4 linked regions of the Arabidopsis thaliana genome follow. The protein of the gene in region 3 interacts with the protein of the main gene of each other region in a pairwise test. Each region holds a gene or a part of one and is shown on either strand. Other genes may lie near its edges.

Region 1 (4,771 bases), on a different chromosome or scaffold from region 3:
GGTAGCTGCTAAGAAGAAGACCGCGGTATGTTTCATTTCCAATTCTCTTCTTCTTTTTTAGGTTTTCGAACATTCAATTTGTTCTTTGTTGTTGTTTTTTTCTTTCTTGCTGAAGTTTTGTGTTTTGATTTCTGATTTCTCCAGGAGAAAGTTTCAAACCCTCTATTCGAGAGGAGGCCTAAGCAATTCGGTATTGGTGGAGCTTTACCTCCTAAGAAGGATCTCTCTCGCTACATCAAATGGCCCAAATCCATCCGTCTTCAAAGGCAAAAGAGGATCCTGAAGCAGAGGTTGAAGGTCCCTCCAGCTCTTAACCAATTCACCAAGACTCTTGACAAGAATCTTGGTATGTCTATTTCATTCTCAATCTACTCTTCAAACATTTACTACTTGCTGCTGTTAATTTATTATTGAAATATTTACCAGTTCTGGTAAATCTTGTGTTGCTGTAACCTTATAAGAAGACTTCGGTGCCTTATTTATATTCGTTATTGATAATTGCAGCTACCAGCCTCTTCAAGGTCCTTCTGAAGTACAGGCCAGAAGACAAAGCTGCCAAGAAGGAGCGTCTTGTAAAGAAGGCCCAAGCTGAAGCTGAGGGAAAGCCTTCTGAGTCTAAGAAGCCCATTGTAGTCAAATACGGCCTCAACCATGTGACCTACCTCATTGAGCAGAACAAGGCCCAACTTGTTGTTATTGCTCATGATGTCGACCCAATTGAGTTGGTTGTCTGGTTGCCTGCTCTGTGCAGGAAGATGGAAGTCCCGTACTGCATTGTCAAGGGCAAATCTCGTCTTGGAGCGGTATGTGTTGTGGGTGATTTCTCTCTAGTTTATAGCCACTAGCATGGAGAGTTAATCTTTATTTCTTTCTCTGACTTTCAGGTTGTTCACCAGAAGACTGCTTCTTGCTTGTGTTTGACCACTGTCAAGAACGAGGACAAGCTAGAGTTCAGCAAAATCCTGGAAGCTATCAAGGTAAATACTTCTTGTGACCAATAGAATGGTAGATTGTGTGAAACATATTGTTGGAGATTCTTATGATTGTGTTTTTGGGTTTTTGTCTATAGGCCAACTTCAATGACAAGTACGAGGAGTACAGGAAGAAATGGGGAGGAGGCATAATGGGATCTAAGTCTCAGGCAAAGACCAAGGCAAAGGAAAGAGTTATTGCAAAGGAGGCTGCCCAAAGGATGAATTAAGAGGCTAGCTTCTTTTGTTTGTGGTTTGCTCGGATTCGTAAAACTTAATAGAGCTTTTTGTTTAGCTGGTTCTTGAAGTACCTCTTTTTTAGTTGAACCCTTTATTATGGATGTTTTGCAATTTCTTGGGACAGTTTCAATGTTATTCAAGCTGCTGGATCCTCTTTGGTCTCTCAACCACTTAAAACTTGACAGTGTGAAATTTTAGCCAAATGCTTATTGCATTCTGGAAAGAGTTATAAGTTTAATTCTCAAATTCTTTTACAGTTCATCTCATAATGATGTGCGTAATTTTTGGTCTTTATGGTTCGATGTTGGAGCAACCATATCCCTAACAACTAGAGTTATATAAGTTCATTAAAATTTGTAGCTGAAGACCAAAAAGTTAATAGTAATAAGTGGGCTTGACGAAATAAAGTTAACAACAAGTGGGCTGATAACTAGATAACAAAGTGGGCTGATAAAATAAAGATTGGGCCCAGATTTTAAATTGAGTTTTATTATAATTGACCCAGCTTCGGGCAAGTTTTCGCTTTTGACCCTTAACTAATTATTCTCCGTGTGGTTTGGATTTGGCGATTGGCAATAGATTCATCAGAGGTTTTTGATATTGGAGGGAATCGGTAACGGGCATGGAAGCCACTGATCCAAGCGCAGAGATCGAGCTCTACACCATTCCTGCTCAATCCAGTATGTCTTCTCTTACCCTCGCCATGCTTTTAGATCTCTAGGGTTTCTTCTTCTACTCTTTTTACTCGCTCAACTGTTTCCGTCTCTTAGGTTTCTGCTTTCTATGGTTTGTTTTCTTTGCAATTGATTTGGGGATTTGTCTTGTTCTTTACAAGGTTGGTTCTTATGGGATGATATACACGAAATTGAAAGACGCGAGTTTGCGGAGTTCTTCACTGAGAGCTCAATCACTAGAACCCCCAAAGTTTACAAGGAGTACCGAGATTTCATTATCAATAAGTTTAGAGAGGACACTTGTCGGAGACTCACCTTCACCAGTGTCCGCAAGTTTCTTGTTGGCGATGTCAATTTGCTCCAGAAAGTTTTTCTCTTCCTCGAAAAATGGGGATTGATCAATTTTAGCTCTTCCCTGAAGAAAAATGACCATCTATTGTCCGTGGATAATGCTAAAATAGAACAAGGGACTCCTGCTGGAATTCGAGTTACTGCAACCCCTAATTCTCTTAGGCCTATAACCGCACCGCCCCTTGTTGAGGAAAGAGTTGAGACTGGCATCAAAGTACCACCGCTTACCTCTTATTCAGATGTTTTCAGTGATTTGAAGAAGCCGGATCATGTATTGGTTTGTGCGCATTGTGGAGAACGTTGCGATTCTCCTTTCTATCAACATAACAAGGTAGTTTTTTTTTGCTTTTTTTCGATTAGCATATTTCATACTCTCTAGTCTGTTTTGTTTATGCTTCTTTTTTTTTTGACATATGATGTTGGCAGGGTATAGTCAACATATGCGAAAAGTGTTTCAAGAATGGAAACTATGGGGAGAACAACACTGCAGATGATTTTAAGTTGATTGGGAATTCAGCTGCAGCTGTGTGGACAGAGGAAGAGATCCTCCTCTTGCTAGAATCTGTGCTGAAACATGGAGATGATTGGGAACTCATTTCACAAAGTGTTTCTACCAAGAGTAGACTAGATTGCATTTCTAAACTCATTGAGCTCCCGTTTGGAGAGTTTCTGATGGGTTCTGCTTCTGGAAGACTCAATCCCTCTATCCTCACCGAGGATGAAAACACGGAACAGGTGCAAACTGATGGGCAGGAACATGAGGAAACAGAGACAAGGGAAGAAAAAGAAGATCGCGTGAATGAAGATGAGCCTCCAGCAAAAAGGAAACGTGTTGCACTGATATCAGAGGGTGATAGTTCACTTATGAAACAGGTGAATGTTTGGTTAAACTATATGCCTTGTGTTCATTATTTTCCATATGAGTGTAACATTCGGGTTCTTCTCTGACCTTTAACCGTCGCAAAGAATGCCCTTTTTAACTCCACTGGAAAAGAATGTTCAAGAGATAACATGTTTACATATTGCACAACAGGTCGCTGCCATGGCAAGTAAAGTTGGTCCATCTGTCGCAACTGCTGCTGCAAAAGCTGCACTTGCAGCTCTTTGTGATGAAGCCTCATGTCCAAAAGAGATTTTTGACACTGATGACTACAGCAATTTCACAGTTGATAGGTTCGATTCTCTAAGCCCTCAATTTGCTTGTGGTTTGGCTTCTCATGTCCTACACTAATCTCAAGATACAAAACTTTGCTCACAGAGCCAATGGAGAGAAAGATACAGATATGGAGGAACAGCAAGAAGAGAAAGGTAAATTGTGTTGTGATTCAATCTGCATTCCTAGGTTTATAATGAAAGCTCAAGGCTTAAGATTTGGAATCGTTATATATTTGCAGACGGGCCTCAGGGTCTACCTGTAGCGTTAAGGATAAGAGCGTCTGTGGCAACAGCTCTAGGAGCTGCGGCTGCACAAGCGAAAATACTGGCTGATCAAGAAGAAAGAGAAATGGAACAGTTAGCTGCGACAGTAATAGAACAACAGGTTGGTTGTAACTTGTAACAACATTAAAACATTTGTGTCTGTTCCACTGTGTTTGTGTCTTGAACCGGACATGTTTTGCTTCTCTTTGTTGTACTCAGCTGAAGAAACTGCAGAGCAAGTTGAAGTTTCTAGACGACTTGGAATCGATAATGGATGAAGAAGAGAAAGTGATAGAGGGTGTAAAGGAAACAATCATCCAAGAGAGGGTTAGCGTTTTGCAATGCGCGTTTAGAAGCGGTATTACCAAACGTTGGGATCATACGTACGTGAAATGATCTTCTTCTTTCATTCGTACTTTTTTTTTCTCTTGGGGTAGAGTTGTTTTCTCATTCCTTATGGATTTGTTATGTTGACTTTTGAGGATTATATGTATTTAGTATTAATGTGTTTTATTGACTTAATGAGGAGAGTAGGTTTAGGTTACATACCTCTTTTGTCGATATGTCTGACCAATGGATGGGTCTCTCTACTAATTCACACGCGCCCAGTGTGACGTCAAATAAATAAAATTCCGAAAACATTTTCTGAGCTTTCCATAATTTGGAAAAAAGTGAATTGAAAAAAAGAACAGTGACACTCTTGTTTCTATAAATTGGTGAGACCGTCCTCAAAACCCCTTCGTCACCTTCAGTGTCTCTCTCTCAAGATCTAGCTCCGGTCATGAAGTCGTCGGAATTCCAATACCACGAGGTTCTCTCTCTCTCTCCCTCTCTCTGCTTAGAGATTTTAGATGTAGTAGTAATAGTTTAACAGGAGAGTGAAGATGTCAAGAGGTGTTGAGATGATTGATTAGATCTTTGAATAAACAAATATGTGTATGAATTGGTGACAGGAATACGTGAGAAATTCAAGAGGTGTAGAGTTGTTCGCATGTAGATGGATCCCATCTTCTTCGTCTTCTCCCAAAGCTCTGGTTTTCCTCTGCCATGGTTGCAGTTATTTCCTTATTATTTCTAAAAGCCGCTTTCTTCATTACACATAATAAAACTGAACAA
Region 2 (4,212 bases), on a different chromosome or scaffold from region 3:
ACGATTATATCCAATTCAAGTCCTGACTATGTAATCATTGCATAATGATGATTAAGATAGATCATATCATATTTTGATTAAAAAAATTACATAATGTTTTTTCTTAGCAACATTGTGATGCCTATATATATATATATAATGGTGATTGGTGAAATGCTTTGAATCTGGTCATACGATGGTAGAATAGCATATGGGTTTCGATGGACCTATTTGGTTTAAAGTTGAATTAGGGTTATGTTAATACTCTTTTTTTCTTTTTCTTTTTCTGAATCTGTTTTTCCTCCATCCTATTTTGAAAAGTATTATTGTTCTTTGCGTTTTTATTCACTTTCTCACATTCGTGATAACAATAAAAAATTCCATATATGTAAAACCTAAATCCTAACATATGAAATATGATTAACTAATCTAGATTATGGATTAGGATGAAAGTGCTAGCTAGTTATGAGATACCTATATTGTACAATTCATTTATTCGAGTGTATATATTCATAAATGAATAGAGAAAGACATTCAAGTAGAATTCATATAATTTCTTAAGGAAGCAAAAACTACCTTCAAAACTAAAACATATATAGAAATAACAACCATCCTCGCATTATGAATGTCTTTGTTCGAATCTAAATCCGAGACTATTAAAAAGTGTATACATACACGAAGAAGATACATAAACCAATCCAACAATACGCATATATATCAAAATATAGAAGAATACGTATACATATAACATTTTCAATGTATAGTGTAGATATATAAAATCATTCAAGAATCTGATTCATTATCGCTACTATGATGATCCGTATCATGATTCGAGCTCATCAAATGATGAAATGGTCTAATCAAACTCGTATTACCCGGCATCATGTGTTGCTGCGATGCGGTATTTGAATTCGAGCTAAAGAGCTGAAGATGACCGGCTCCATCGACGACATGATGATGATGAGAAGCTCCAAGAAACGAAGGGTATGTCGGGAATAGAGAGCTCATTGCCGGAGGAGTAGGACCGAAAAAAAGCTGAGATCCATCTCCGGCAGACGAGGAAGGAGGATGCAAATTGAGATTATTGTTATTATTAGCAGCAACATTAGATATTGCGACAGTAACGTTATTACCAGATTGGTCTAACGATTGTTGAAGATGTCCAAGGTTGTAATAAGCTGAAGTGTTGTTGTACGGATTGGTCAGAGGAAATTGTTGTTGATGATTGGTGTTAAACCCTTGATGATCTTGATTACTATTCTCGTCGTTTTTGATCCATTTTCCTTTATCAAGATCAAAACTTTCTCTTTGGGTCGTAGTTGTATCGGTTAATCTTGCTCTTGTTCTTGAAGAACCACCAAGATCCCAATTTTCCAAGAACCCGAGATTGGTTCCTGGAAACGTTGTTGATGTAGTTGAAGATGGAGATTCTCCAAACCCGGAGTTTCCGAAGATGAGATTTGGATACATCTGGTTAAATCCATGTGGGAATTGTAGAGGAGGTAGCTTGTCTACGTCATCTTTTGCTGCTTCGAGTAACCAATCAATGACTTTGCTTGGCTGACTCAGCCCTAATCGATCTTGAAGGTCGTAGAGTTGAATAGCTGTAGGTACGGACAACCTTATCCTCCGGTCTCGAAGACCACGGACTGTACATACTTTGCTGTGTCTGTCTTTGCCACCGAATGTTCTTGAGACTCGAACGATTCTTGGATTCCTAAAAGCTGAAGTCCATTGCCTTGAAGATGATACCGAACTCGGCTGTTGTTGTTGCAACATGTGGTTTAAGTTTACTTGATGATTTTGATTTTGATCTCTTTCTTGCTTTGCTTGAATCTCCTCTTCATCACATTCTCCTGATCTCATCTCTTTAATTCACTCAACAAGATCTTCAGTACTCAATTTGGTGTAAAGAACAGATCTGAAACAAGAAGGGAATAAATTGACCAATTTAATAGAAAATAAATCAAGAAGACAAGAATTAGTTGTTGTTAGCTTTCAATTGAATGAAATTGTTGATTTTAAATATGTTTTTGGAGCGAGATTCACATGAAAACAAAGCAATAATATCTCTTTCTTGAGTTTGCATCAAAGAAAAGAAAGCTCATAAGAATTTGAAATTCAAACATGTTGAAGGTTATATGTTCTTACGTTGATTGAATACTGGTAAGCTTGAGTCCTATTTCAAGATCCAGCTTGATAGAGAAGTAGAAGAAGGAGGAAGAAGAAGAATAAGAAAGAGATAAGGAGGCAGAGGAATGTGTAGTATTTCTTTTTTTGGAAACTAGAATTACATATGTATATTATAATGATTGGGGAAGTTAAATAATAAATGAATTAGATATATTTTTAAGTATTATATTCCGATCCCTAGGGCTTTTTTTTTTCGGTATGAAAGGAATTTATGCAGAAGGACAAAAGAGGAGCAATTTATGTAGTGTATTGATACTGTGATGGGAATGTGCATGTTTCGTTACACTCACAGTCACATAAATCTTATATATATAAAACTTTACAATAGTTGACAAAAAAAAAACCTTTACAATAAATTTTAATATATTTTAGTATTCAAGTTTTGGTTCCCTTTCCTTGGTGTTAGACATTCATTTTGAATTTTATATGATTTAATTTTTACCCAAGTTTGTGATCTATGTTGTCTTCTTATCTTAAACAAAAATATAAACATACGGTTAAGGTCATTTAAGAGAAAGTGTACGGTTGACAAATTAATAGTTATAAATGGTAACAAGAGCTTTTAAAGTGAAAAAAAAATATAGTACATGTATAGTAAATTAATAATGGTAAAAGTGGTTTGAACTTTGAACTGTGAAACATATATATATACAAGATCGAGTTTGAAAGTTTTATGAAACCAAATTTTAGTAAATTCAAAAAAATTCATAATATAAACAAATGGAAAGACCAATTTATTTACAGTCGTCGCTCATTTCATTTGAGTTTCTGTCGTTTTGGAAAATGAAAAGTTTTATTTGTAGATAAATTGTTGAATTTCATTATTAACGAAGCAACTTGTTGAAACCCTAAATTTAGTGATAATGAAATGTAGACTTGTTAAAATCAAACTGTTGGGAATACTGCTTTTATTTCTAATTAACTACTTGTGGGTTATATTTTTAAGCATATATAGAAAATATCCATATATATAAATTTTTTGTTTTAATATCAACATATATAAGTAAATATAATAGAGATTGACAGCTAGAGGAGGTAAGGGTCTGTCTCTGAGATAGAGAATGGACCAACGAGTATAGGTTTTTCTTTAAAGCATCTAATGCCTAAATACTCACAAAGAGATTTGTGGTCCACTTCTCTTCTAAGTGTCTTTGCCACTGAGATTTTTGCCCACAATCACAAACCATTTTCTTTCCTCTTTGTATCCAACTTGATCACTACTATATATAAAGTCTTCTGTAATTGACCGCGCCTTTAACCCACACTGGTTGTTTACGAAGAATATTGAGTTACTGCATATATAGTACTGTACGGTTTCAAATTAAGAACTCTGGTTTTGATTATGTAATCTTGAGATGAAATTGACTGTAACAAAGTTACATTTGTAATTTTGCAAGAAAAAGTTTTGTATCAGTTTTTTGGTCCTCACTTAAATATGGGGAAAATATTAAATAAATATGAACCACTTATATATCGTATAATTTTAATGATCATATAAATTGTGGTAACTGTTCATCTCAAATCAAAGGTTCCATGGATTTCTTTTTCCACATCGGTTCCGTAGATTATCCAACACAATTTTAAGGCATTTTAAGATGATCACAACACAATGTCACAGATTATTTTAAGAAGGCGATTGGAAGCCTTCATTAAAGGCATTTCCAAGGATCTTTCCGGATATGGTGGTATATTTTAAACACAAATTATTCTTAGAGCGAGATAGACTTGTACATTTCATTTTTTTGGTACTGTGATAGACATGTACTAACTTTTATATAGATGGTGTCAGTGGTATATTGGTCTAACTAATATATGCTGCAACAATATTAATTATGATGTATGTTCATAAAACTTGTGGTGAAATTTATCACAACAATTTTTTTGTCCCAACAAAGAAGCTTGCCAAACCTACCCGTCGTCTAAAGCAGCCCACTACCAAAGCCGCCTTTAGTCATTGCTTGGTTGGTAACGTCTGTCAAAGCCAAAACCTTAATTTCTTTCAAAATTGATTTAACGTAAATTCAAGCTTAAGGAATAAGC
Region 3 (6,653 bases):
GTGTTTTTTTCCCAAGTCATTATTTGGGTTGAAAAAGAGTAAGAGCGGCGATTTAAAAAAGACCGGTCAGCAGGAACCATCATCAACAACATCGGAGTCTGACAATTTCTATGAATCGGGAACAACGCTTTCTCCGTCGGAAGAAGATTCTAGCCAGGGATCGCCGGTATCTTCGAGGTGGAGTTCGCCGAAATCGTCCTTCTCTTCTCGCCGTGGTTCGCCGCTAAAACGGACTGATTCGGATTTAAGCTCTTATGAGAAAAAAACCATGTTAATGATAGCTCGTTCCCGCCTTGGTTAAATGGTTAGGCTTAAAAAAAAAAAAACATCTTAGAGATTAATCAAATAAAAATGATTTTGAGTTTTTCATTGCGACAAGAACGAATATGTTACATGTAGATTTGTAATGAAATTGTCTATATATTATCGTCAAAATGAATCGAGTTAAAAGACCCCTAATGTTTGAAGAGTAGAGAAATGGTTGTGGGAAAGAGAGACATTAAGATTGGTGACTGTTTTAATTCACAATGATGATGATGATGGTTTGATACTACAAGACACTAACTTGGAACAAGACTACGGTCTCAAAGCCAAATAACTTATCTTTAAAAATAACAAGGTGAAATAAATATGGATACTGATAAGCTAAATAAGCTAGAGAAAGATGGATCTTAGTTTAAGCCTAAGCCGGACCCTGAGCCTGAACCTGTGGAAGACCTAACCATCGGGTGACTAAACGAAGGCTGGTTGATCGATGCTGCTCCAGCTGCTGCAGGGTTATTTAGTTGGTTGTTGCCAAACATGACGTTTGGTGAAGCTGTTGATCCTGCATTGGTCTGTATTGCATTGAGAGGTAATCTCGGGCCAAACGAGAAAGCTTGCTGTTGTTGTTGTTGTTGTTGTTGTTGTTGTTGTTGTTGTCGTGCCATGAAATGCATCTGTGCTTGAACTTGCGGGTTGTTGCTGAATCCTGGGATTATGCTTGGTTGAGAAGTTGCGGAAGCTTGTTGTTGCTGATGTTGCTGATGCATGAGAGAATTGATGTTGTTACCACCTGTGGATAGAGACATGCCTTGGAGATTATTAGTCTGTGGAGAGATTCCTCCAGGAGATCCAAATCTTGCTGAGAGCATACGAGCCCGTTCTGCAGAAAATCTCTGACGGGTTTTCTCTACTTGTTCGCATTCTTTCATCAACAGTGTTTCAATTTCTGCGAACTGCTTTAATTTCAGCTCCATCCTCTTCAGCTGCGGTTTTTACTCAGATCAGCAATAAACACTATACAACAAAATAAATCAACTACCTACAGTAATTCTCATCAGCAACTGGTTCTGCTATTTTACCTGGTGATTAACGATATTAGCAGAAAGTCTCTGGATTTCGCGTTCCTCATGATCAGCAAACAATTTTGCTTTTGTTGCTGCAGCTGATAGACCGGCTCTAAATGCTGCCATAACCTTATCCTGTGGCAGTGGAGTCTGCGCTTCTGCTCCGTTTTGGCTTGATGTTTTGTGTGCTCCTGAGTTTTTTTTACAATTAAAGCATGTTGGTGTCGCAGATTAGGTTAAAACAAAAGAGCAAAGAATCACTGTAAAGAGAACAATCAAATAACTTCCTTACCATCTTGCTGTTGATTTTCTCCATCAAGCAAGCTGGCTTCTTTCCCTTGCATTCCCTCAGATTTCATCCTAGATCAAGAAGTTTCAGAATAGTCCATAGTATTATTAAACTGAATCACACTACAGAGAATTTATATTGGATAGAGACTATATAATACACTAACCTATCGTCCTCAGATAAAACCGAGAGGGATTCATGGGCACAGGACGCAGCAACTCGAGGTCCAACAGCTGATGCCAAAAATGCAACCTAAAATATTTTGGTATCAGGATCCTCATATCTCCAAACTTATGTGCAATACAGGACCATTCTCCACTCAAAATATGCATACAATTGAGCTCTCAGATATAATCGATTCATGGATCAGAGATATCTCTAACTGGTGAGATCATAAGGATAATAAGAAGCGCATATGAAATCTGCATCGGAAAAAAGTTCACAAACCAATGCCATAACCGGATTCGGAGACTTCACAAATGGAAGCTTGATCTCAGTGTCAGAACCTTGCTCGGAATATCCTGCAGACGCAAGCGGACAATTAGTATGGCATGTCAAAGGAAATAACTATGGAAAGTAATTCATTGCTACAAATTGAATAAAACAAAATCACCAGGTAAATCCCCATTTGAATCTGTTCCTTTGTGGTCATATCCATTTGTAGGGTTTTCCGTATTAGTTACACCAGAAACCTCAACATTATCTAATAGACCATCCTCCACAGGTAATCGAAGAAAATGAAGAATGCATTGAGCTTTTGACTTGGAACCAACATGATCAGCAATTTGAACCCAATTTTCATTGTAGAGTTCCACAGCTTCAAGAAGCAAGAGAGTTTCCTGATCAGTCCAATTGTCTCCATCTTGATCGCCATAAAATTTCATTGGATCCACTCTTACAAAGTCAAGACAAGAATGTCCAACAACAAATCTTCCATGGTGAAAACAATCACAGCATAAGAGTATATCCCCCTGTAAAGTAGAGATGAAGATCCTTTAGTTAGAAGCGGTCCAGTATCCGAGACAGTAAGCAAGATAAAGCTTGGAGTCTATTACATCACTGGGTGCAAAAAAGAATCAGATAATGATACACAAAGAACAGTACGTAAGGGGAAGCAGCCTAAGAACCTTCTTTTGCGATTGGAAGTACACAGTTGGAAGCGGTCGAGAACAATGGTTGCAATGACTATCACATAGGTGTTCACGAATTCTGATGTCCAAGTCAGGGCTGTCACCATCCAAACTTGGCAAGGATGAATAGACTTCACCCCCCTTGTGTCTACAGTTGGGCTTGTCAAATTTGATCAAACTATCAATAGATGTTAAAGCAGCAGACGGCACATTGACCTCGCCATTTGTGTCCTCCCTCACATCCGATACATCTCTCAAAGGGCCAGGATGTGACTGGGCAGTGGCACAGTAATTGATTATTCCCCAGTGATCAAGAAAACGGAAAACTCGTGCAAAATCTTCAATGTCAACACCATCTACCAATCCTTGGCAATCAGAAATCGTCAGTGTCTTTTCAGGGTTCTCTACATATTTGGAAACAATGGCGTTCCTGAATTCCATATAACTTTCGGGTGTATGATTTGGCGATTTCCCAGAGAAAAACTGTGGCACCACTTGCCTTTCAAGTCGATCTACTGTGTTTGGTGCAAACCAATCTGCTCAAATGTAACAGCAAAAGTAGAAGAATAAATTCGAGCATTGGGAACAAAAATATCAGAAAATAAAAATAAAATAAGAGGAGAATCTCGATATATTTGAGCCATAGGACTCCAGGAACAAAACCCAAACGAATTAGAAGAACATCACTTGCATAGTCTATTCAAGTTGTACTTCTGAGATAAGACACCTAAGGCTACTTCAAGCCAGCAGGTACTCTAATTTATCATGTACAAAAGTTATAATACCTCTTCCTTTCCATCAGACAGAACATGGGAACATAGAGAAACATCTGATATGAAATTGAGTCGCGTTCAGATTAATGTAAACTAAGAACCAGGCACTAGACAAAAGGAAGATAAGAACTTATACGTTAAGGAGATACCGGCATACAAACCTGTTTTGACTAATTCTCATTCCAATCACAAGATATATACTACAATACTACCAACCAGCAAAAGCTGATGCTGCATAAAGCCTAACCTCTAACATAAATGCGCGTATCAAGAGGAAGAAAAAACACACCTGAATGCATAGGCAAGACATGAACCAGATCCCCAAACCGTTTAACAACTCCTTCTCCATCCATAATAGGTGGTGGAGAGATAACATAAGCCGAAGACGATCCATCACTCCTCTCAAGATCAAGAGAATCAGCAGGTACAGTAGATAACGCTTGCAATTGCCCAAACGAAATGTTCTCCAGAGCTGGAAGTGAACCTTGCCCTCTAGTCTCCCCTATCAAACCAGCTCTCTCAGCCGCCACAACAGCCATTACAGACGCGTGTGGCCGGATCACAACACGCTTAACCACTGCCGGGAAATCAGAGATGCGCGAACCAGAATCTTCAACTACCTCGCCAATACCAAGTCCCGGATCGGGAGTTGCGCCGCCGTTTTGCTGAAGCTCATCGGCATTTTCAACGTCATCCATTTCTTCGTTGTTGTTGTTGTTATTCTCTTCGTCTTCTTCCTCCATATCTTCCTCCTCTTGTTTCGGTTTCCTCGCCGCCGATAACCCCCCTCTCTTCTTCCTTTTCCATTTCCCTCTTCTATCTGCGACAGAATTGTAAAAAGTGTAATTCAATTCACACGAATTCTCGAAATACCCATCACTACGATCTATGTGGGTAAGTCAAATCCCAATTTAAATTTGGATTTTGAGAGAGATAAAGATGTGAAACAGCAATTTACCTTCAGAAGCTGGCATTTTTGTGGATGAAGATAGAGAAATAGAGGTTTTGGGTTCTGTGGAATCGAAGCAAGACCCTTAGTAAAAAGAATTGCTTTCTTTGTCTTCTCTCCTCCGAGTCGTTCTGATTTCCAGCTCTCGAGCTAAACACCAAACCTTTTTCTCGCAATTTCTTTCACCATTTCCTTCATTAATCTCTATATATTAATTCATTCTCCACGACGACCTAACCTTCTCGACAAACAAGAGGGTTCTGATTTCGAAATTCAAGCTTCGTTGACCAATCCAAATTTTGGTTTAACTTCGGTTAAAGTCAACTTTACTTCGGTTTTATTTTTCAATTTTGAATGAGAAAAACCGAATCAATTATTTAGTTCGGTTCTTAAAGTTCAAATTGGTTAAACCGGTTTAAATTGATACATTAGTCGACCGTCGCGCATTAATACTGGTGTGGTGGTTCCGTTAACGAGCAACGGCGATGAAGAGACCTCGACCTACATCTCAGCCGTCGATCTCTTCCACCGTCAAACCACCACTGTCTCCGCCGGTCACACCGATTCTCAAACAGAAGCTACACAGAACAGGAACACCTAAATGGTTCCCGTTAAAACTAACCCACACGGAGCTGACGTTGCCGTTAACTTTTCCGACGGGTCAAACATTCCGGTGGAAGAAAACTGGAGCGATTCAGTATAGCGGAACGATTGGGCCTCACTTAGTCTCTCTTAGACAACGTCCAGGAGACGACGCAGTTTCCTACTGCGTCCATTGTAGCACAAGCCCTAAATCCGCGGAGCTTGCGTTGCTCGATTTTCTCAATGCTGAGATCTCGTTAGCTGAGCTATGGTCTGATTTCTCGAAAAAAGATCCTCGTTTCGGAGAGCTAGCGAGACATCTCCGTGGCGCTCGTGTGTTGAGGCAGGATCCGCTCGAGTGCTTGATACAGTTTTTGTGCTCATCGAACAATAACATTGCGAGGATTACGAAGATGGTGGATTTTGTTTCGTCTTTAGGGTTACATTTGGGTGACATTGATGGATTTGAGTTTCATCAGTTCCCATCATTGGATCGATTATCTAGGGTTTCTGAGGAAGAGTTTAGAAAGGCTGGTTTTGGTTACAGGTGATTTCATCACTCTCTAATGGTTGCATTATGTTGAATTAGACATTTAGGCTAAAACTTTGCTTGAAGCTTATACTTTTATTTACTCTGTGGCTATACATTCATAGAATTGAAGCTAATGTTTGGTCTAAGCTAGATAATCATTGTGTGGCCGTTTCTCTGATTGGTTCTGATCTCATTTGAAAACTCTCATTCTGGTTTATCTTGTGGTGAGCAGAGCCAAATACATAACAGGTACAGTGAATGCTTTGCAAGCAAAGCCAGGTGGTGGTAATGAATGGCTTCTTTCTCTGCGCAAAGTCGAACTCCAAGAGGCAGTTGCTGCGCTGTGTACATTACCTGGTGTTGGTCCGAAGGTAGCAGCTTGCATAGCTCTGTTTTCTCTTGATCAGCATAGTGCTATTCCGGTTGACACACATGTCTGGCAGGTAACAAAGTCCATCGGTTTCTATGTATTGTACTTACTTAATTGAGATCCAATTACATAATGGTGATGATGACTTCGGGCAACTTTTTTTTTGTTCTGTTTTGGATAATGGATCAGATCGCAACAAATTATCTACTGCCAGACCTTGCTGGTGCAAAACTGACACCTAAACTCCATGGCCGAGTTGCAGAAGCCTTTGTGAGTAAATATGGTGAATATGCTGGTTGGGCTCAAACATTGCTTTTCATTGCCGAGTTACCTGCACAAAAAACTCTCTTGCAATCGTTTTCCCAGCCCATTAACAAACTGGATGAGTCTGCAGAAGTTAATGAAACTAGCTGTGATACGTTGAAGCCATGACTATGTGTCTACCTAAGCTACGAGGAATCGTTTTCACAACCCATTCTTGATGCGTCAAGTCCAGAAACTTGACCTTGGAAGAGCTAAGAAAATTCTGAAGCTGATGCAGTATTTGGCTCCCTGGCAAATGAGCGTAGTTATTTGTTATGATCATTGTTTACTAAGGAACCAATCTTGATATGTACTTGTAACTTTACATTCAAACTTCCAAATTAAATTCTAATTGTTTGTTCCCTTTGCAATTCTCTTGATTTGAAATGAGAATTTT
Region 4 (7,550 bases), on a different chromosome or scaffold from region 3:
ACTATCATATGAGTCAAAATCCAACACATGAAAACATCCTAAAAAGCCTTAAAACCCTAATCGATACACAACAACTTGATCTCTCAAATGAGAAGAAAAACTCCAAATCCACTACCACCTAACGACTTCCCAAGAATCATGTAAAGCTAAACTAAGAGTAGAAAGAGATACAACAAAAGAAAGAGCTGGTTTTACTATTCTTTTTACTACACAAGCAGTAATCTAAAGTCTAGTTCCTATTGTCTTGGAAGTAAATAGCAGGAAAAGCTCATCGACTCTTTCTTTCACACCTTTTCCAGATGGGTCAAGACTCTCTGCCGGCATTTCGCAGCAGCTCGATTTGCTGGTTATCTAGCTAGTGGAGTCCATTCTCTTTGAGAGCTGCGGGGATTGGGTTGGTAAAGAGGAAGGTACAGGAGCAGAACCATTGGCCTTGAGAGACGGAGTGGCTTCTCCAGTAACGCTGACTCTTGATGGTCCCAAGTCTTTTGAGATTAAGGGATCATCATGGACCTCTTTTTGCAGCATTTCCATTCGCCTTAAGGACGGCACTTCACCTTTGCAGTACTTTTTCCACATATTCCGATATGCGGATTCAAGACCAACAGCAAAGGAAGGACCATTACAAACAGGAGATCCAGCCATTAGATCCCGGAGACTCATTCTCAATTTAGAAAGAGCTGTGACATCAGAGGCTAGATCAACAGATAGCTGAACATACTCATCCTCATTTTTGGCAACCAGGTGTCCTAATCCTGAATCAAGAAATGGCTGAATTAGCTAAAAGATGTCCGACTAACAACAATTTTTGCAAAAAAAAAAAAAAAAATTTTGCTAAGAGCTTACCAACTTTAGTGAGAAGACTGACACCAACATTATGAGCATGTACTGAGCCAGCCATTGTAACACATGGAACTCCCATGTAGAGAGACTCACAGGTAGTGGTAGTTCCAGCATAAGGGAATGTGTCCAAACTGCAATAAATGTAAATTAAATATGTGAATCTATAAGCCTCGGTGTTTTACAGAGCACTATGTGTCAAATCTTACCTAATATCCATCAAGGAATAGGCTTGCATATGGTCGTGATTGAAAAGAATCAAAGGCAAGAGATCAACACGCTTTGATTCTAACCCAAGCTGCTCCAGCGTGGTGAGAAACCTCTGCCTAATGCTATCGCAGCAGAAAGGTTTGCATTTTACCACTAGACGAGAATTGGGAACTGCACACAGTATCCTAGCCCACACTTGCAGCACCTTAGGAGTTATCTGATTTGCACAAACAGAGATAAACCTGTCAAAACATTGAAAGAGATACTAGGGGAGATTGGTGTGCATAATCCAAGGACACAAATTTTTTAACCTTTGCGAGGTTGTTGAAACTACCAAATGTGACAAAGCCATTAGAAAGCGCAGGTGTTGGACAAACAGGACCAGCCTCTGGGGAAGGTGTATAACAAAGAAAACAGTCCGGAAGCCTAACCAGCTCCTCGACCTGCCTGCAATCAAATATCACAAAATAAATAAATAAAAATTAAGATTTTTATTTGGAGCACTTCCGAAACCCAAAATTGCATCTTGAACCAAAACGTACTTTTGTTTGGTATCTGGTGGATCAGCCAACGAATCTGTAATTCTGTAATCAACAGTGGGCAAACCCGTAGTATTTGGATAGCCGATCCAAGTAACCTGGTATCTTAGCCAATATAAGTACACTTGAAATGGAAAGTCAAAGGCAAAACCCGAAACAACAAAATGAGATAGGTTTAATATATCCTCTCACCTGAACCGGTGCTGGTCTGCAGGCCATTGTTCCCAACTTGTTGTTTGCCGTATGACCAGTGAGTTCTACCAAAATGTCGATTTTGTCCTCTCTGACCATACTTGCTATCTTTTTCTCATCTATCCCGTATATATCCTTCCAAACTCCACCTTTCTTCAACACTTTATCCCTAAACCTGTATGTTTTTGCATCTGCCTGCAAAGCCATGAGAGACCAATGATTGCTCAAAAGGGAAAAATGCCACGAGAACCAGGAAATGAATTGCTTAGAGGGAAAATGTATCTATATAAGTTATATAGGTAAAAATCCTACCTTAACTACCGCTGAATAAACCACCACTTTGTACTTTGTATAATCATGATGCGTAAGGGGAGCTTCAATGAAATAAGATACTGAATGAGTGAAGAAATCTGGTGAGATATATCCAATGGTGATAGGTCGCTCTGGATCTTTCAGATTATCCCATGAAGTGTATTGAGGGTGTAATCTTGTGAAGCGCCAACCCCAGTCTCTGTGTTCAGAAGATTTTTTCACTGTAAGACCCATAAAAGCAACATAATACAAATCTACATTAATAATATATGTGCTTACCTGTGAGCCTCAAATAGTTTGTCATCGAGTCCTTCATTTATGTAATTCATGGCAAGCAATCGGTTCTACAAAAGGGGACAAGAAGGTTTTAAACACATATATCTTTCAACCTCATAACAAGAAGACCACGCTAAAGTATAGATACCTGGCCAGCATTGCGAGAATCTGGATCTATCTTAAGGCATTCCTCATAAGCATCGATAGCCATAGTTATATTTCCAGCATCTCTGTAAAGAACACCTACATTTGAATCGCACCATGAAACTGGTTATCACAGACACTACAAGACTCTTAGCGCCAGGGAGGTAGAAACAAAAGGACAAACATAAAATCTAAATTTCAAAGGAATATAGTTTCTAAGCAGTTGTAACACGTGAGGAAGCTCGTAAAGAACAGAAGATGAGAAAACAGACCTAGGTTGTTAAAAGCTTCTGCATATGTGGGATTAGCAAGTATAGCCTTCTCAATCATGCTGGCAGCAGCATCCATTTTCCCCTGTAATATCAGAGGAATTGGCATTCTATCGACTTAGGAGATTCAATTAAGAAAACATTAAGCCGCCCTTAATATATATCAAACCTGGACTGTATAGACGACACCAAGGTTATTAAGCGACTGTGCAAAATTTGGTTTGATTGATAGAGCCATCTACATAGGTTGGGAGATATAATAAGCCACCAAACACAATGAAATTCTCATGAAACGCTACAGATATCTGCAAAAATATTACCTGATAACACTCCACAGCTTTATCAAGGTTGTCACGGTCTTTGTAAAGTACTCCCAAATTGTTGCAAGCCTCAGCACAATGTGGATTAAAGTGGAAAGCAAGCTCATAGAAGACAATCGCCTGCACATTGAGAATGCAATCATGACCACAGACATATTTCATTCTTTGGCTCTACAATTCCATTATAATATAGAGATCTACATACAGAGTTTTGGATTAATTACGAGAACATGTGGAGAAGGATAAAAATCTAGGTAGATAAACTAGTCAAGATATATATCATTTTATCAAGCGAGTAAAGTGGCGAGGAAAGGATAAACACGCGATAACAACCACACCATTACTGACTTACAGAAATGAACAAATCACAAATTAAATACCATGTCGAACTTTAGCATTTCTCCATAAGCCACCCCAAGATTGTACATAGCATCTGCATAGTGCCAGTTATAATAGAGAGCCTTCTTGTAATATGCCACTCCTTGGGTTACATCGCCTTCAAGTTTAACCTGAAATATCATTGACATTTGACAAGTCAGATGTACTCACAGCTGAACAGCTTCTCGCCAATGGAAAAGAAGGATTAAGAAACTGCAAATCAAAATTATTCAGCGCAAAAGTTCACTAGTAAAGAACATAAACAGATTCCAATGCCATTGCCGTGACATAAGTACAAAGCACACACAGCACAAAGGGGAGCTAAACAAAACGAAGTTTTATAACGAATTTTCCAGAAGGCGCCCCTTACAAAAAGTATACTTGAGTTATAAATTGTGATAAAATTTAAGGATTCTTACCTTTGTTCCTAAATCTGTCAGAGCTATGGCCATATTGTTCTTCGCAATCTCAAAGTTTGGAGACACAGCTAGACATCTAAAGGCAGAAGAAGAAGAGAAAAAAATCAGCGCCTTACTTGCACGTTCAACAAAGTAGCAAGAAACCAGTCAACAGTTAGAGATGAATTAACAGATATGCTACCTCTCATAACAAGTGATTGCCATCTCCAAGTCACCACGGTTCTTATAAATGACACCCATGTTACAATATGCTTCAGCATACATAGGCCTCTCAAGTGCAGCCTTCTCGTAGCAGCTCAAGGCATTGTCATATTGCATCATTTCGGAGTATACAACACCTAAGTTGTAATATGCAGGCTGCATAAATATATTATAACATACTGAATTAGAGAATCAGTTAAATGGTACCAAGAGTGTGAAATGGTAGAGGAACAGAAAATTACAGCATAGTGTGGGTCAATCTTAAGGGCTTCGTAATACTTTTGAATTCCTTCCTGAGTATTCCCAGCCAGCTTCAGGCTAGTTCCAAGGTCGGTCAAAACAATGGCTAAACACTCTGCTGCTGGCTTGTATGATGCATCTGCCATCAATGCTTTCTGGTAGGACTGTGCAAAATATGATGATTAATCGTTAGAAACTGATTACCTAGCAAAAAACCTAATGCATAATTGCATATCACCAATTTAACAAGTTCAATGGTCTAACTAATGCAGCACCCTCTAATGCAAATCATCACAGATAGAAGGTAATGTAATGTTGCACCTCAGCAGCTTCTACGAGGCGTCCTTCTTCTTTATGAAGTATACCACAGTGTGTAAGGGCACAAGCATTATGCGGATCCAACCTGATCGCTTCAGAAAAACAATCGAAAGCTAGATTCCCTTTGTTCTGCGTCTGCAAGCATATCCCTTTTCCAATGTGAGCTTCAACATTCTTGCTATCTTTCTCCAGCATAGCCTCATAGAGAGCAAGCGCATCAGCAAACTTGTTTCTTGCCCGAAGAATATTGGCATAAGAAAGTGTATCGTTCCCCTGAGTGACCTTTCGTGATGGAGACAAAACACCTGCGCTAGAAGAAGAAGACCGAGACCCATTGGAAAAACCATTCTCTACGACTGGTGACCTCTCTCTCTCAGTATCATCTTCCAGTCCCACCATTTTTTTGTAACTAAAATCTTGTTCACCTTCAAAGAAACAATTATAAATATCAAATCAAAGGTGGAAGAAAAATAAACCTTGCATTGTTGACATAAATATGAAGCTTCAACGAAGCTAAAGATTTGATCTTTAACAGTATCAAACCCAACTCATCACATTCAATTCCAAAAAAAAAAAAAAAAACTAAGATTCACACAAATATGCAAAAAGATCAGACCTTTGGGATGTAAACCCTAGAAATTAAACTAAAAGAAACGATTAAGCAGAAGAATGCATATGTAATTGAGAGTAAACACGAACAGATTAAACAACAAGGTCCGATACTTAGGGTTTAACGATTACTTACCACAAAACCTGAAAAGAGGAACTTGACTCTGTAGCGACGAAACCTCTGGAGCCGCTAGAGAAGAAATCGAGTGGCTAAAGAAGAATGATATGTTTGAGTAGACATAAGAGAAGCTGATCTCCGCCTCGCTCCTCCGAAAACAGAAAGCGTTGATCAGTATACCTCAGACGCCAAGCCTAAGCGGTGGAGTCGTCGCTTGGCCGTGAATGGATGGAGCGGAGGTGGCGGCGACGGCGTAGCCTCTATTATAAGCTCGAGGACAAATGAAAGAGGTACGAGGTCGGTCCGAGCCAGTGGACAGAGGCAACGACTCAGATTAGCTCTCCTCGCTTTTCCTTTTTTTTTCTTTCCACAGCTCAGATTGTTATTTTATTTTATTAGAAACGGACAAAATAGATAACAGTAATCATTTTGCAAAAATAAAAAGGAACAAGGTAAATTAATTAGTCATTGTAATAAAGAAACAAAAATCTCCAGATATGCAAGAAAATATATGTTTTATGTTTTATTTCATACAAAATCATCTGAATTATGTCCAGCCATTTAGGAGATTTGATGTTTTTTTCATGGACTATGAAACTAGTCTAGAGTTATAAAACCCTCTTGTCTAAAAAAAAAAAAACGTTATAACTTCTCTAGTTCTATTGAAGCCAGATTGATTGATGAGTTATGTTATTATTGACATATCTATCATTTACTCAATACACTCACACGTAGAAAAAAGTTGACTTCGAAAATATTGGTTAAAAGAAACTACAAAATTTGTTTTACTCACAAAGTTGATAATGTCCAAAACATAATTTTTCACGATTGTTTTATTTGGACAAAATAAAAATCATTGTTCTACCGAAAAATAAATAAATAAATTCATTCTCATTGTCTTAATTTTTTTACGAAATTATGAAGTGGGAAATGGATCAAGTAAGTTTCACAAGTGGGAGTCCAATAGTTAGGATCATGTCGGCCTCGTCCACTTGCGTTCTCCTTGATTTAACGATCACTTGCTTGTCTCAGGTCTCAACTAGTGGTGACGTCAATTCATTTGGTATTCATTGGACTATACACTTTTTTTCATTGTCAAATAATTGGACTATGCTACTTAAATAATATACAGCTACTCAGAGAGACTTTTACTCCAAAACGAAAGAGCCCCTTTTAAACAACACCTTATTATTTGGAGCAAAACAAAAAACAACACCTTATTTAAGTAAGAAATTAGTAATGGTACATCACAATGGCATCATAATGAACAACTGATAAACACTTTTGAATCGTCACCAGCAGCAGCATGTCATAAACGCACCAACCATGATAGCATAGATCGTGAGGTGCGCAATACCATTACTTCTCGAAGACATAGAAAGCATTGGAAACAACTTATGCTACTTTGGATCCATTAATCTCTCCTGATTAACTACTCTTTATCTTAACCTTGTTTTTATTTCTTTTTGCCAAGGTTAATTTAATTTAGGTAATACGTCTCTTGTAATACCAAACATTTCATTTCTAATGATATTTACATTCTTAGCAAAAAAAAGAAAAAAAAAACAAACAATGATAGCATAGATAGTGTATTATGATGGAGATTTACGTACTCTAACTAAAATTATGGAAACGAATCAACTCAACTTATGGTTGCTTAATAGTTTAATAATACTTTTTCGTTGATGCAGTTTCAATCATAGTTGATTGCATTTAAATAACAAAAAATGAAAAGAAAAAAATATTTAGCATTTCACATATTTTGATGATTGGTATGAACTTTGGTTAAAAATTTCAGTTATAAAATCATTTTTATTACGTATGATTTAGGAATGAGTTTTATGTGGTCCTTGCAACCCAAATTTTGATCGTAATTTTTTTTTCATGTCATTTAGTTTGTGATATTTTAAAATCGACTACTAGCTGTATTATCAAAACCACAATCCTGGAAACCAATTATAACCAAAATAAACCAACCAAACCAAAAAGATGAAATCGATGAACGGTGAGAAAACCAATTTTGACCGGTCACTAATTTTCATTTTGCTCTCAAATCGCGACTCCTCTCTGGGCTCTCTCCTTCTGTATCTCTCTAAGGGGAACAACGAAATCATCACCTTCTCTTTTATCGTCACCGGCGATCATTCAAGACTCGATCTCCGGTA

Evidence for each region.
Region 1: the proteins of SWI3C (region 3) and SWI3A interact in a two-hybrid assay, tested with the Arabidopsis thaliana proteins (one study listed by BioGRID).
Region 2: the proteins of SWI3C (region 3) and TCP5 interact in a two-hybrid assay, tested with the Arabidopsis thaliana proteins (one study listed by BioGRID).
Region 4: the proteins of SWI3C (region 3) and SPY interact in a protein complementation assay, tested with the Arabidopsis thaliana proteins (one study listed by BioGRID).

Annotation. Positions count from the first base shown.
Region 1 is NC_003071.7:19,530,201-19,534,971, forward strand, and holds SWI3A (SWITCH/sucrose nonfermenting 3A), read left to right. Parts: upstream 1-1,746; 5' UTR 1,747-1,833; coding exon 1,834-1,891; intron 1,892-2,046; coding exon 2,047-2,567; intron 2,568-2,662; coding exon 2,663-3,109; intron 3,110-3,269; coding exon 3,270-3,409; coding exon of another isoform or gene 3,410-3,467; exon of another isoform or gene 3,468-3,494; coding exon 3,495-3,544; intron 3,545-3,630; coding exon 3,631-3,776; intron 3,777-3,874; coding exon 3,875-4,051; 3' UTR 4,052-4,271; downstream 4,272-4,771. Other genes in the region: AT2G47610 (Ribosomal protein L7Ae/L30e/S12e/Gadd45 family protein), read left to right, coding at 1-25, 145-346, 505-803, 885-977, 1,070-1,201; AT2G47630 (alpha/beta-Hydrolases superfamily protein), read left to right, coding at 4,437-4,466, 4,609-4,705. UniProt on the Arabidopsis thaliana protein: Component of a multiprotein complex equivalent of the SWI/SNF complex, an ATP-dependent chromatin-remodeling complex, which is required for the positive and negative regulation of gene expression of a large number of genes.
Region 2 is NC_003076.8:24,534,808-24,539,019, forward strand, and holds TCP5 (TEOSINTE BRANCHED 1, cycloidea and PCF transcription factor 5), read right to left. Parts: upstream 2,438-4,212; 5' UTR 2,131-2,437; intron 1,901-2,130; 5' UTR 1,846-1,900; coding exon 763-1,845; 3' UTR 530-762; downstream 1-529.
Region 3 is NC_003070.9:7,619,485-7,626,137, forward strand, and holds SWI3C (SWITCH/sucrose nonfermenting 3C), read right to left. Parts: upstream 4,683-6,653; 5' UTR 4,495-4,682; coding exon 4,479-4,494; intron 4,341-4,478; coding exon 3,810-4,340; intron 3,284-3,809; coding exon 2,745-3,283; intron 2,589-2,744; coding exon 2,231-2,588; intron 2,139-2,230; coding exon 2,065-2,138; intron 1,870-2,064; coding exon 1,784-1,869; intron 1,689-1,783; coding exon 1,621-1,688; intron 1,520-1,620; coding exon 1,344-1,519; intron 1,248-1,343; coding exon 672-1,247; 3' UTR 517-671; downstream 1-516. Other genes in the region: AT1G21695 (hydroxyproline-rich glycoprotein family protein), read left to right, coding at 1-301; OGG1 (8-oxoguanine-DNA glycosylase 1), read left to right, coding at 4,955-5,598, 5,816-6,026, 6,143-6,385. UniProt on the Arabidopsis thaliana protein: Component of a multiprotein complex equivalent of the SWI/SNF complex, an ATP-dependent chromatin-remodeling complex, which is required for the positive and negative regulation of gene expression of a large number of genes.
Region 4 is NC_003074.8:3,630,349-3,637,898, reverse strand, and holds the start of SPY (Tetratricopeptide repeat (TPR)-like superfamily protein), read right to left. Parts: upstream 6,013-7,550; 5' UTR 5,404-6,012; intron 5,084-5,403; 5' UTR 5,058-5,083; coding exon 4,662-5,057; intron 4,505-4,661; coding exon 4,343-4,504; intron 4,257-4,342; coding exon 4,081-4,256; intron 3,976-4,080; coding exon 3,900-3,975; intron 3,612-3,899; coding exon 3,483-3,611; intron 3,223-3,482; coding exon 3,103-3,222; intron 3,021-3,102; coding exon 2,952-3,020; intron 2,868-2,951; coding exon 2,786-2,867; intron 2,613-2,785; coding exon 2,518-2,612; intron 2,438-2,517; coding exon 2,373-2,437; intron 2,293-2,372; coding exon 2,094-2,292; intron 1,977-2,093; coding exon 1,782-1,976; intron 1,688-1,781; coding exon 1,593-1,687; intron 1,498-1,592; coding exon 1,362-1,497; intron 1,268-1,361; coding exon 1,050-1,267; intron 975-1,049; coding exon 847-974; intron 756-846; coding exon 352-755; 3' UTR 1-351. UniProt on the Arabidopsis thaliana protein: Probable O-linked N-acetylglucosamine transferase (OGT) involved in various processes such as gibberellin (GA) signaling pathway and circadian clock.